Schizosaccharomyces pombe: one gene and its partners. The protein of the gene in region 2 purifies or fractionates together with the protein of the main gene of each other region. This does not show direct contact. Each region holds a gene or a part of one and is shown on either strand. Other genes may lie near its edges.

Evidence for each region.
Region 1: the proteins of nts1 (region 2) and oga1 purify together in Schizosaccharomyces pombe (affinity purification with mass spectrometry, with the first as the bait; one study listed by BioGRID). This does not show direct contact.
Region 3: the proteins of nts1 (region 2) and nop56 purify together in Schizosaccharomyces pombe (affinity purification with mass spectrometry, with the first as the bait; one study listed by BioGRID). This does not show direct contact.

Annotation. Positions count from the first base shown.
Region 1 is NC_003423.3:4,282,378-4,286,104, forward strand, and holds oga1 (protein stm1), read left to right. Parts: upstream 1-1,551; 5' UTR 1,552-1,560; coding exon 1,561-1,578; intron 1,579-1,846; coding exon 1,847-2,220; intron 2,221-2,282; coding exon 2,283-2,745; 3' UTR 2,746-3,079; downstream 3,080-3,727. Other genes in the region: Hrd1 ubiquitin ligase complex subunit Ufd1, read left to right, coding at 176-208, 265-386, 435-1,136; protein nrm1, read left to right, coding at 3,665-3,727. UniProt on the Schizosaccharomyces pombe protein: Ribosome preservation factor that protect a small pool of nontranslating, vacant ribosomes in cells under nutrient starvation conditions.
Region 2 is NC_003421.2:933,120-936,876, reverse strand, and holds the start of nts1 (protein Nts1), read left to right. Parts: upstream 1-1,721; 5' UTR 1,722-1,953; coding exon 1,954-2,113; exon of another isoform or gene 2,114-2,182; intron 2,183-2,592; coding exon 2,593-3,757.
Region 3 is NC_003423.3:940,731-944,487, forward strand, and holds the start of nop56 (U3 snoRNP protein Nop56), read right to left. Parts: upstream 1,644-3,757; 5' UTR 1,589-1,643; coding exon 95-1,588; 3' UTR 1-94. Other genes in the region: chaperonin-containing T-complex zeta subunit Cct6, read left to right, coding at 2,212-2,268, 2,314-2,387, 2,426-2,489, 2,631-3,757. UniProt on the Schizosaccharomyces pombe protein: Required for 60S ribosomal subunit synthesis.

The DNA of each region.
Region 1 (3,727 bases), on a different chromosome or scaffold from region 2:
GTTTGAAAATACTTTTAAGTTTTCACATTGTTGGAGATTTGATTTTATATACTCATGAAGTTCATGTGATTTTATCTTTGAGCGCTTGCTTGCGCATTTGCTTATGGTTAACATTCTCTGCTCAATATTTTTTATATTGTTATTGGGGATTATTAGTATTAACAACTACGTCTAGTAATATTACCACCTTCAGCTTTAGAAAAACTATGTACGTAATGCGAAGAGAATTTATTAAGCCTTTTAAATCTGTTAATTAACTATTAGCACGCCTGAATGTCAGTTATCCCATGCTTTTTGACTTTGAAAACGAAGCTGCAGAGAAAAAAACTCATGGGGGTGTGTTAGAATTTATTGCGGAAGAGGGACGTGTCTACCTGCCTTATTGGGTATGAAAAAATTTAAAGACTGTCAGAAATGTACTAACTAGGGCACAGATGATGACTACACTTAGCCTTGAGCCTGGAGATTTGGTTCGAGTTATAAATACTGATATAGCACAGGGCAGCTATGTCAAATTACAGCCTCAAAGCGTGAATTTTCTTGATATCACGGACCACAGAGCGGTATTGGAAAATGCGCTTAGGAATTTCAGTACGCTTACAAAATCTGATATATTTGAGATTTTGTATAACGACCAGGTATATCAAATAAAAGTTATAGATGTTCAACCTGATGACTCCCGCCATGTTGTCTCAGTGGTAGAAACCGATTTGGTAGTTGATTTTGATCCCCCCATCGGTTATGAAGAAAGTTTGCAAAAAAACAAGCAGCAAAATATTGCTGGCGTTCAAGGAACGATGGTTACCAAGATTGGTTACGATGAGCTGGTGAGGCAGGGCGATTCGAATTTGATGAAGGGAACAGGGACTAAACTAAATGGTAAAGAAGTTGCTGAAGTGCCTAAAATAAATTTGCTCGATGTTGAGAAACAAGAATGTCCTGCTCCGTTGATCCTACCATTGGGTACATACTTCTTTGGGTATCCTTATAAAGCACCCTCTATTGAAGAAGATTCTAAGAAAGACCCCAATTTATTTAAGTTTGAAGGTGCCGGTACATCTCTACGTGCCTCTCGCAAAACAAATGGAACAATGGGAAAAGGTTCCTCTGATGACCCAATCGATATTGATGCTTAATGTTAATCGTCTCAAGTTATTACTTGGTTGGATTTAGTTTATAACGATTTTAGTACCAGTCTTTTTACATTGAATGAATTAATTTATTATTTGTTTCAAAATATAATGTAATTAATTCTTACTTAGACTGCCTAGCTTTTTTTTACCAGTAGTATATTTCTTAATAAAACTTATTTTAATGCTAAAGAAATGAATGATTCGATAAAACGAATATTGACAATTGTAAGCCAAGTGCTTCCGATATCATAGAAAAAAGACAGGCATTGTGTTGAATAACTGTAATTTTAAGATAGCCTTAGGTATTACCGTAAGATGATGGACAAAGCACATCATTTGTTTCAACCTACCCTAAGTTTGAGTGACTGCTTTTTGGATGACTGTAGTTGTGTAACTGAACACACACAATTAACTTTCCAGCTTCCAAATGTCTGTTGCATCCAAGGTATGATTTAAACATTTTATCATTAAACGATTATTTTAAGGGTTAGGAAATGAACGAACTGGTAATTATTTGTAGCATGTTTTAGGGCTGTGTTTAAGGTTTCATTACTGCGACCCGAATGAAATACTTTATAGAAGTATAGCCTGTATAAAGACGCTCAAGTATTAAAAAATATAAATTCACATTTCGTTCATTATTCTTTAGAGTGTTAGCTCTGCAGACTCTGCTGATTTTTATTTTGTTTTCGCAAGTAGTAACCAAATTATAGAACCTCTTTGACCTCCTCGGAGAGGAGACTCCCGCAGCTACTACTACCGAGAAGAAAACCGCTGCTTCTCGTGACAAAAAGCGCTCCGACAGCCCTCCTGTCCCCCGCGAATTAGTCGCTCAAAGCACCACCTCTAGGAAGCGTGACCCTAACCAACCCACTCCTCGTGAGCGTACCGTTAATAAGAAGGCAGACCAACCTCGCAGACGCCGTCAAGCTCCTCAAGGAAACGAAGCCTTTGCTCGTGAAGGCAAAGAAGCTCGTGCTAACAACGCTGCCCATCCTGTGGATGCCACTGGCGCCCCCTCCAACCGCCGCAATGCTCGTGCTCGCCGTGGTCGTGAATTTGACCGCCATAGCCAAACTGGTAGAGTGTATGTGTTTTATTTTTCTACATGTGAATGCCAAATTATATAATTGCTAACCATTATTTTAGTGATACCAAGAAGGCTACTGAACGTGGCTGGGGTGATCTCGTAAACTCTGCTGCTAACCCTGATGTTGCAGAGAACGAAGGTAACACTCCCTCTGGAGCCCAAACTCCTGCTGCCGAGGAGGAAAATGTTAAGACTCTTGATGAATATCTGTCTGAACGCAAGTCCGCCGCAAAGCCTGTTGGTCGTACTGTTGAGAAACTTGAAAACGCTACTAAGGTCGAGAAGAGTGCCCCCGAAGAATTGTTTGCCTCTCTTAAGAAGAGCGCTTCTCAAAAGAAGTCTGCTGCCAAGGAAAGCAAGCCAAAGAAGGTTCTTCTTGATATCGAGCAAACTTTTACTGCTCGTCCTGCTCGCGGTGGCCGTCCTAACCGTGCTCCCCGTCGTGGTCCTTCAGAAACTGCCTCAAAAACCCAACAGGCACCTCCCACCCTTTCTGAGACTGACTTTCCCGCTCTTGCATAGATGAACTGGTGACTTGAGAGTAGCCTATTGATGTGGAGCGTTTGATTGGTCTTGGATGAAATTTCGTTGTCAAGCGTATGTGGAAAGGTGTGTGTTATCTTACAGATCCCTTTTTGTTTATTTTCCATTGAGCATCATTCGGGTTTCTAGGTTATTCAGTGATTCTTATCATTAAAGCGGTCTAAGGTGTATTCTGTGGTTGCATTCCCTTTTTTGATCCACATTTTGCGATGAATTGACTAAATATTTTTCAAAATGGTCGAATACTAGTGTGTAAAAAAAATTTCATTCTCGTATCTATTCACAACTAATATTAAGAAGATGCGCGTTTAAATCGTCTACCGACTGTTATCTTGATATAACGTATCTTATTTTTAATCTGTAAATATCAGCCTTAGTAATTGTGTACATAACAAAAGCATATTTCAGTGTACGGTAGGTCTGCCTGTGCAATTCACAAATACTCCATTTATTATTCCAATTGATTTTGTCATTTTCAAATGTCGTTTGCAGGGATATTGAAACGGACGTTGAATAAAGCCTTCTTAACCTTGTAAAATGACTATAGGAAAGTTATGAACGAGTTTGTGTATCGGTAACATAACAGGTAAATCACTCTTCATAATGCAAATTGCGGTTTACTTTTTATAGCATCATTTTTGATAGCTATTTAAAAAATTTGAAAGTTAATATAATTAATAAACTCGAGGATATGAGCAAACTGATAAAACGCGCTATATCGCGAATTCGCGCTTTAAAGGGCGTCGCGTCGCGTTGCGTTGGACACCGCTTATATACGTGCCACAAGTACGCAACAATCGACGAGTCGCAAAAAAACTGTCTCTGATTATTACTTTTCCTTCTGATTCTCTGCTACTAGGAATCTTTATATTGGTTTCCGTTTAGAAAAAATAACAAGATGGATAGGTCAATGGAACCATTGACCCCATCTCGTTTAAACACTTTGGGGGAAAGGCCAACA
Region 2 (3,757 bases):
TATTTTCTTTTGTTAAGCAATTTCGTTTAAAAATAAACATATCCGACTTTGATGCTTCAAAAATTTAATGTAATAAAATAATATTCCTGTTTTTGAATCTGGGTTAAAATCATATCGGATACCTTATAAAATTCACTGATCATTTAAAAAAAAAAAAAAAAAAAAAAAAAACCCCCCGAAAACATACAATTTTGTTAATTTTCAAATGCATTCTTTTGAGGTCAAGCCATATTTACTTTTATCCCAAATATTAAATTTAAGTGTCATATGCAAAGTTGCAAATTCGCCGACCGTAGGGCTATCAAAACTGATGATGTTTAAAAATTGACTAATGGAACAAATTTATCTTGAGATGAAATGATGTTGTTCAAAATTAATATAATTTTTTTTTGCTGTTTCCTCTTGCTTTATACGCATTTTCCTGCACCTCTCTTTCAGAATACACATTATTCTTATTTGGTATTAAGATTCACCAATTGATAAAATAACACCTAATTGTATGCCACGGCTATCTTGCTATTATTGTAATTTCGCTTTATATTCGATTTTGACGAATGAACCCTGTCAAGTTGGAAAATGCAAAAGCAGTATTCTACCGTTACCTCTCAGTAGTAAAATGACCTTCCATCGATGAAATTCTCTAACATTCTCTTCGTATTTAAAAATGTATGGATCGTATATTCCTTGCTTATCCACGATTCATGAACAATTAAGATTTGCTGAATGGGTAACACATATTCTGCGTTACCTCGTATAGTTCATTGTTAATCAATGTTTAAACACTAAATTTCCCATCTCCCACTGTTAATTGAAAATAGGTTTTATTCAATAAATTACCATTTAAAAAGACATGTTATTTTAAGTTATATATTTTATGAACCTAAAGATTGAAGTAAAGGCCTTCGGAGCCTTTAGTTCCCCTACTATGTGCCTCTACTCGCTTCTTGGGGCTTAACTGTAATGTAGTATTGCCAATTACACAAAAAATTTATATTGTTCTTTAGCTTCTTATAATTCATTTAAATGAGAGGTAAAAAATTCGAGAAGACATTTCAGAAAACTACAGAAGTATCCATTTGTTTGAAATTAACTGTCCTAATGCAGATGAATCCTATGTAATAGAAATATTACAACCGTGGCTATAAAAGAAGTTGAGAGTTAGTTATACGTAAGAATATCTTTTAAAGATTTCAATCGACATCTCACATGATTCATCAGTATTAAACGTAAAAGTTTACATATTAGTTGTAGCACTATTCGTGATAAATGAAATAGTAAACCAAAAAACGAACGAGGAATAATCTTTTCATCACTAGAATATTAAAATTATTTTATATAATCAAAGTTAGAAAGATTCCTTTAGTTCCTTGAAATATTCTTTAATTATTATTGCAGCACTAAGGATTGCATCACTGATATGTCTCAGTAATGATTATCAGAACGTCTGGTAATAAAGCACGATCCTCTCTCTTTTTTTGTTCTGACTCTCGTCAGGATGAATTCCTTCTCAAAGTGCCGGGAGGAATTGCTTTGTATTTTTTGTACCGTACTTACATTTTATCGTATACTTTCACCTTAGCGCTTTTGGTGTCAAAACAATAGAGATGTAAATTTTAATAGAAATTAAAGCTTATTGGAATTTTTGTTTTCAAGTGTTTTAACATGTAGTGATTGTGTAAAGTATATGTTTACGTTCTAGTAATCGACTACCGTTGAAACTTGCAAACTACCAAACAGTATTGCAGACAGTGAATCAGTCGACGGAGCACTTGAATCAATTTGTTAATAATATAGAGATTAAATTCACAATTTATTGACACATGATTAACTGAATTCATTAAAATATTTGTTTTTTTGGTATATATTTCCTTTCAATACCCTCGCTATTTGTTTCTTAATAACTGAAGACAACATTGATCTACTTAATATATATGACTCAAAACTCACAGAGTAATGGTGAAATCGTGTCAAAAAAAACCGGATATTGATGAGTTCTTTTCATTTTTGCAGAGTGCATTCCATCCTCTACAGACCGAGGAACTTGATACATTCGTTCGCAACATTTTTGAATATGACGATCGAGGTCGTTTGTACAACTGCCTTTTAACTCTAGGTAAGAATGAATATTAGATATAATCAAGTTTATTTTTATCGCTTTTTCTAAAATTGTGAATTTTCAATTGATCGTCGTATGCTTGATAGCAATTTTGATGATCTTTTATCAAACATTTTGCACGCCTATAACTCTAAGGTTATATCAATTCAATTTTCTCAAAGAAACATATAAAATTTTACTCTATTCATGACTTGGCATGAGTGGTTGGATGAGACTGTGGCGTTGGTCGTTAATTATATTTTTTGTTGTTTCTGTTCGAAATTGAATGGTTGATTTCAACATTTAGCCCTTGGGTTTTTATTTCCCTAGGAAAAATGTTTGGGAGATTTAACCGTACAGTTTTCTGTAAAGCAAATGATTGTATAAAAAAATTATGATGACTGAAAATTCAAATCTACTACAATGTCACTTGAAAAATCGATTTCTTTTTTGATGTTTTATTTCTTTTTTATTAAAATTTCTAACCGTTAATGCAGTTCCTTATGAAAGACTTCCAATAGATGCAGAGGATCTTAGTAGTCGAAAAACCTATGCGCGTCCCGTACTAATCCGACAATACCGCAGTTTGCGGTTTGCCAACAAAGAAGAAAACATTTGTCGGCTAACTCCCAACTCAGCGTTCGTCCCTGTTCGAGACTCTGCAGTCGCTAGCATTTCAACCTCAAAAGTGCAGGACTTTAACTCCTATGCTACTCTCACTGAAGCACAGAAAAAAACGGCCACTCCCGTTGAGGAAAAAAACTTCTTAAATCAAATTGTCATACAATGTTTAGACTCTTTGGAAACCGACGTTGAAACAAATACCACGCATGCTACTTTACTAGCCGTTGACCCTACTTGGTTAATCCGTGTATCACAGCATACCTGTGATCGGAAAGCTGTGGCTAATCTCTGTATTCAGTATGGAAGTCAAATATTTTATGATCCATCATTTCGAAATGCTTATGAATTATGGTCCAATCCTTCAGTTCTTTTGGCTTTTTTGAAGGCCCAAAGAGTGTTGGTCGTTTCAGATATATTTACTTCGTCAACATTGAGATCAACACAAGGGACGCCAATGTCTTTTCCTAATTTAGCTTTGGAAAGCGCTGATAATGTCGAGAACGTATCAAAGCCTATTAACCCTCGAATGGAAAGGTTTTCATCAGAGGTTAAATCTTCGAGTATTCTGAAACAACAGATTGCAGCCGTTGTTGAGAAAATCAATTATGACATACGCCCTCAACGTGATCAAATCCCTGAAGAAAATATCGTACCTAGAATCTCTTACTTAACAAGTACCACTACTTCGACCAAATCATCACCGGTTCCCGAAAGCACTACAACAAACACAACTGAAGTGCTGAAAGAACTTAATGACATTCAAGAGAACAAAAGCAGAAAAAATGTTGAAAAAGCGACTGCGGCAACAGAAGAAATGCTACGTGGCCATCACAAACCGGTAGAAGGAACAACGGCTACTTCGGAAAAAGAAAGCATTAAAGAAGAAGTTGATTTAGAAGTTAACGGTGACGGGAAAGTTGAAGCGGAAGAGAGAATAGAATTGGAATCTTCCGATTCAGAGAAAGAGCTTTCAGAGCTGATTGATTTTCTTAAAAGAGAACACCCACCGGAAGATACTCCAGAAAAACGAGTAAAGAT
Region 3 (3,757 bases), on a different chromosome or scaffold from region 2:
ACGCCCATAATCTATAGCAAATTTTTCAATTACAAGTTGTTCTAAATATGCAAGAGCAATATGGTCCCCGTTATATCCTAATAAAAATAACGTCTCAATGGCTCTTCTTTTTCTTCTTACTTTTCTTGACTTCTTCTGATGCATCATCGGCAGAACGCTTTTTCTTAGACTTCTCCTTTTTCTTCTCCTTCTTGTCTTTCTTTTCTTTCTTGCTCGGCTTTTCTGAAATGGTTTCAACAGTCTCTTCAACGTCAATGTCAACCTCCTCGTCTCCGTCTATGTTAACACTCGATAATGCCTTTTCATAAGCTTCTGCCATTGCAATACTATTGCGAGTAGGGGCGACACCGGTATCGAAAAAGTTGAGACGTTCCTCGACTTGTCGACGAAGAACTTGACCAAATGCCGTAGTTGGGGCATCGCTAAAGTTATCAATACGGCTAGCAATAGAACATTTGTTAGCCAAGAAACGAGAGATGCGGCCTTTGTTTTTAGCGCCAGCTTTTCCAATAAAACTAGAATGGTAAATAATACCGTATTTAGGCGTGTTTCCACGGGTTTTCAGAGCACGGAACAAAGCCTTTTCAGCACCTAGAATCTGTACCGTAGAAGCCGGGCATTTTGACAAGTTAGTTAGACTTCCGGCATGAGAAATCAAACGAGCACCAACCATCTCACCAATTAATTCAGCAAGATTGGGAGCAACAACATTCATCTTCTGAACCAAATAGTTATGTAGCTGTTTACGATAATTACTAAGTTTAATAACACGTTCAGCAAAAGATAGAATATTCTCGAGGTCAATTTCAGAGATATCTTGTCCCATAGACACTTTACCAGCGTTGATTATACTTTGAGCAATATCTTTGTCATCGTCTACAACGGCTGCCAGATCATGAAGCATTTCGTCGTTAATGGTGGTTTTATCACCAACCAGTGTAACAATAACAGCGTATTTGTAATTGTCTCCAACGATCTTCGAAAGCTCAGGGAAATGCCAAGAATACCACTCTTTCATGCGCATAGCGAAAGTATTAATGTCCTTGTCAAGTTGATCAAGGATAGCAATAGCTTGGATAATCATGTTGTCATTTCTGTTAACATTGAACTTCACTTTTGCGCGAGAGTATGAATGTCCTAAACCAAGCTGAGCCCTTTCGAAATCACCGGGTGATAGTTGCTTGAGAAGTTTATCACCATGAAAACGAATACCACGGAGAAGATCCTGGGTAAGCTCAGAAGTGTCACATTCAATGGCATCAATTTCGGATTTAATAGACGTTGCTAAATTTTTGTCTTGGACTCCCAGAGACACCTTTTTCTTCTTTGAGGCTTTCGGCAAATTGAGTTCCAAAAAGTTTTTCAAAAAATCATTCAAAACGCCTTCAGAAATGTCGTTGGCATTTTCCAAAGCATGGGCAGCATTTTTAAAAGGAATAAAACTTCTAAGCTGCACCACTTTACCAAATTTTGAAATATCCTGAAGAGACAACTGCACTTCCTTTGTCTTCGCTGCTATTTGATCAGCTCCAACGACATCAAAAAGGGAATACCCTGTCGCAGACTCATACAACAAGTAATCAGCCATTCTTCACTTGTAGTACTTCACGCCGCAATTCTGACTCGGCGTTAGTGCTGTGGGTGAAAATTTGTGCGAACTATTCAAAAGTTTGATGTATTTTTTTTAACGTAGTTTATGATAGGGTATAGTAACCTACATTAAATTAATTTTGAAGCGATTTGATTCAGCAATACTAAACAACGCTATTTTACACTACGTTGTGTATCACTATATGTCACATGTCGTATTTATTCATCATGCCATCTTTGACGATACCGAGATTGAACTTAATGATAACCTATTAATATTTTATATTGTATTGATACTGCAAATAAATATTCCGTTGAACCTCATTCCTCAGTTCATTTATAAGCGATAATAGTGATAAGTAATAATATAACCTAGATGGTATAATACCTATACTCAGTTGCTACTTATATTACCTGCGTATTGCAATACAATAGGTCACAAGGAAAACTCGCCGTAGTCTAAGTATCGTTAAAATAGATACCAAACTGCGTAGCTTACATTTGATAATTATTAACGCAGTACGCAAATTTACGATATTTTTAAAGACTTCAGTAAATATTCGACTAATAAGTAGCTGAACTAACCAACTACAGTTCATTTGGTGATTTACTTTAAGCTCAATGTTGTCCTTATTGAATCCCAAAGCGGAATCAATTCAGAGAGCGCAGGCTCTTCAGGTTGGTCTATAATATTTGTTTAAGCAGTATCGCTAACGTTGGCAGGTTAATATCTCAGCAGCAATCGGTTTGCAAGATGTCTTGAAAAGCAATTTGGGGCCAACTGGAACAACGAAAATGTAAGTTACTTTTATAGTTTAGCAACTCATAATTTTAGGTTGGTTGATGGCGCTGGTGCTATTAAGCTTACGAAGGACGGTAAAGTCCTGCTTACGGAAATGGTAAGTGATTAAGAACACATTAACTGCAAATGCTTTTTTCTTTCTTTCCTTTTTTGATAATTTTGGAATTTTTTTGACTACTTTAGGTCTCATGTTGCTTTTAATAATGAGTATTGAGTTGTGTACTAACTTTATTGGTAGCAAATACAAAATCCAACTGCCTCTTGTATAGCCAAGGCTGCAACTGCTCAAGACGATGCCACAGGAGATGGTACGACTTCCGTATGTCTTTTGGTTGGTGAATTACTTAAGCAAGCTGAACTTTATATTCGTGAAGGGCTTCACCCCTCTTTAATTAGCGATGGATTTAATTTAGCAAAGAATGAAGCCCTTACATTTTTGGATAGTTTTAAGACTGATTTTGAGGTCGACCGTGAGGTTTTGTTAAACGTTGCGAAAACCTCCTTAAGTACGAAGATTTCCTCAAAAGTTGTTGAGTCACTTGCACCTGCTGTTGTTGATGCTATATTGACAATTCGTCGTCCTGATGAACCTATTGATCTTCATATGGTCGAGATTATGAAGATGCAAAATCGCTCTGCTTCAGATACTCAATTGATTCGCGGTTTACTTCTCGATCATGGAGCTCGTCACCCCGATATGCCCAAGCAAGTGAAAAACGCTTATATATTAATTTTAAATGTTTCTTTGGAATACGAAAAGAGTGAGATAAACTCGGGATTTTTTTATAGTACTTCGGAACAACGTGAACGATTAGTCGAAAGTGAAAGGAAATTTGTTGACAATAAATTGCGCAAAATCGTTGAACTTAAGAAGGAAGTTTGTGAAAGAGATCCCACTGCGAATTTTGTTATTATCAATCAAAAAGGTATTGACCCCCTTTCTCTTGATGTATTAGCTAAGAATGGTATTATGGCTCTGAGACGAGCTAAACGTCGTAATATGGAACGACTTCAGTTAGCATGCGGCGGGGTAGCCCAAAACAGTGTGGACGATCTCAATCCTGAGGTTTTAGGATGGGCTGGATCGGTTTATGAGAGAACATTAGGTGAGGAAAAATACACTTTTGTTGAGGACGTTAAAGATCCTAAAAGTGCGACTATTTTAATTCATGGACCCAATACATATACAATACAACAAATTCAAGATGCAACTCGGGATGGTCTTCGTGCGGTAAAAAATGCTGTAGAAGACAACTGCTTGATAGTTGGAGCCGGTGCTTTTGAAGTTGCTTGCGCTGCTCATCTTCGCAACAAGTTTGCTGCTAAAGAAGTTAAGGGAAAGGCTAAAATGGGAGTATATGCTTA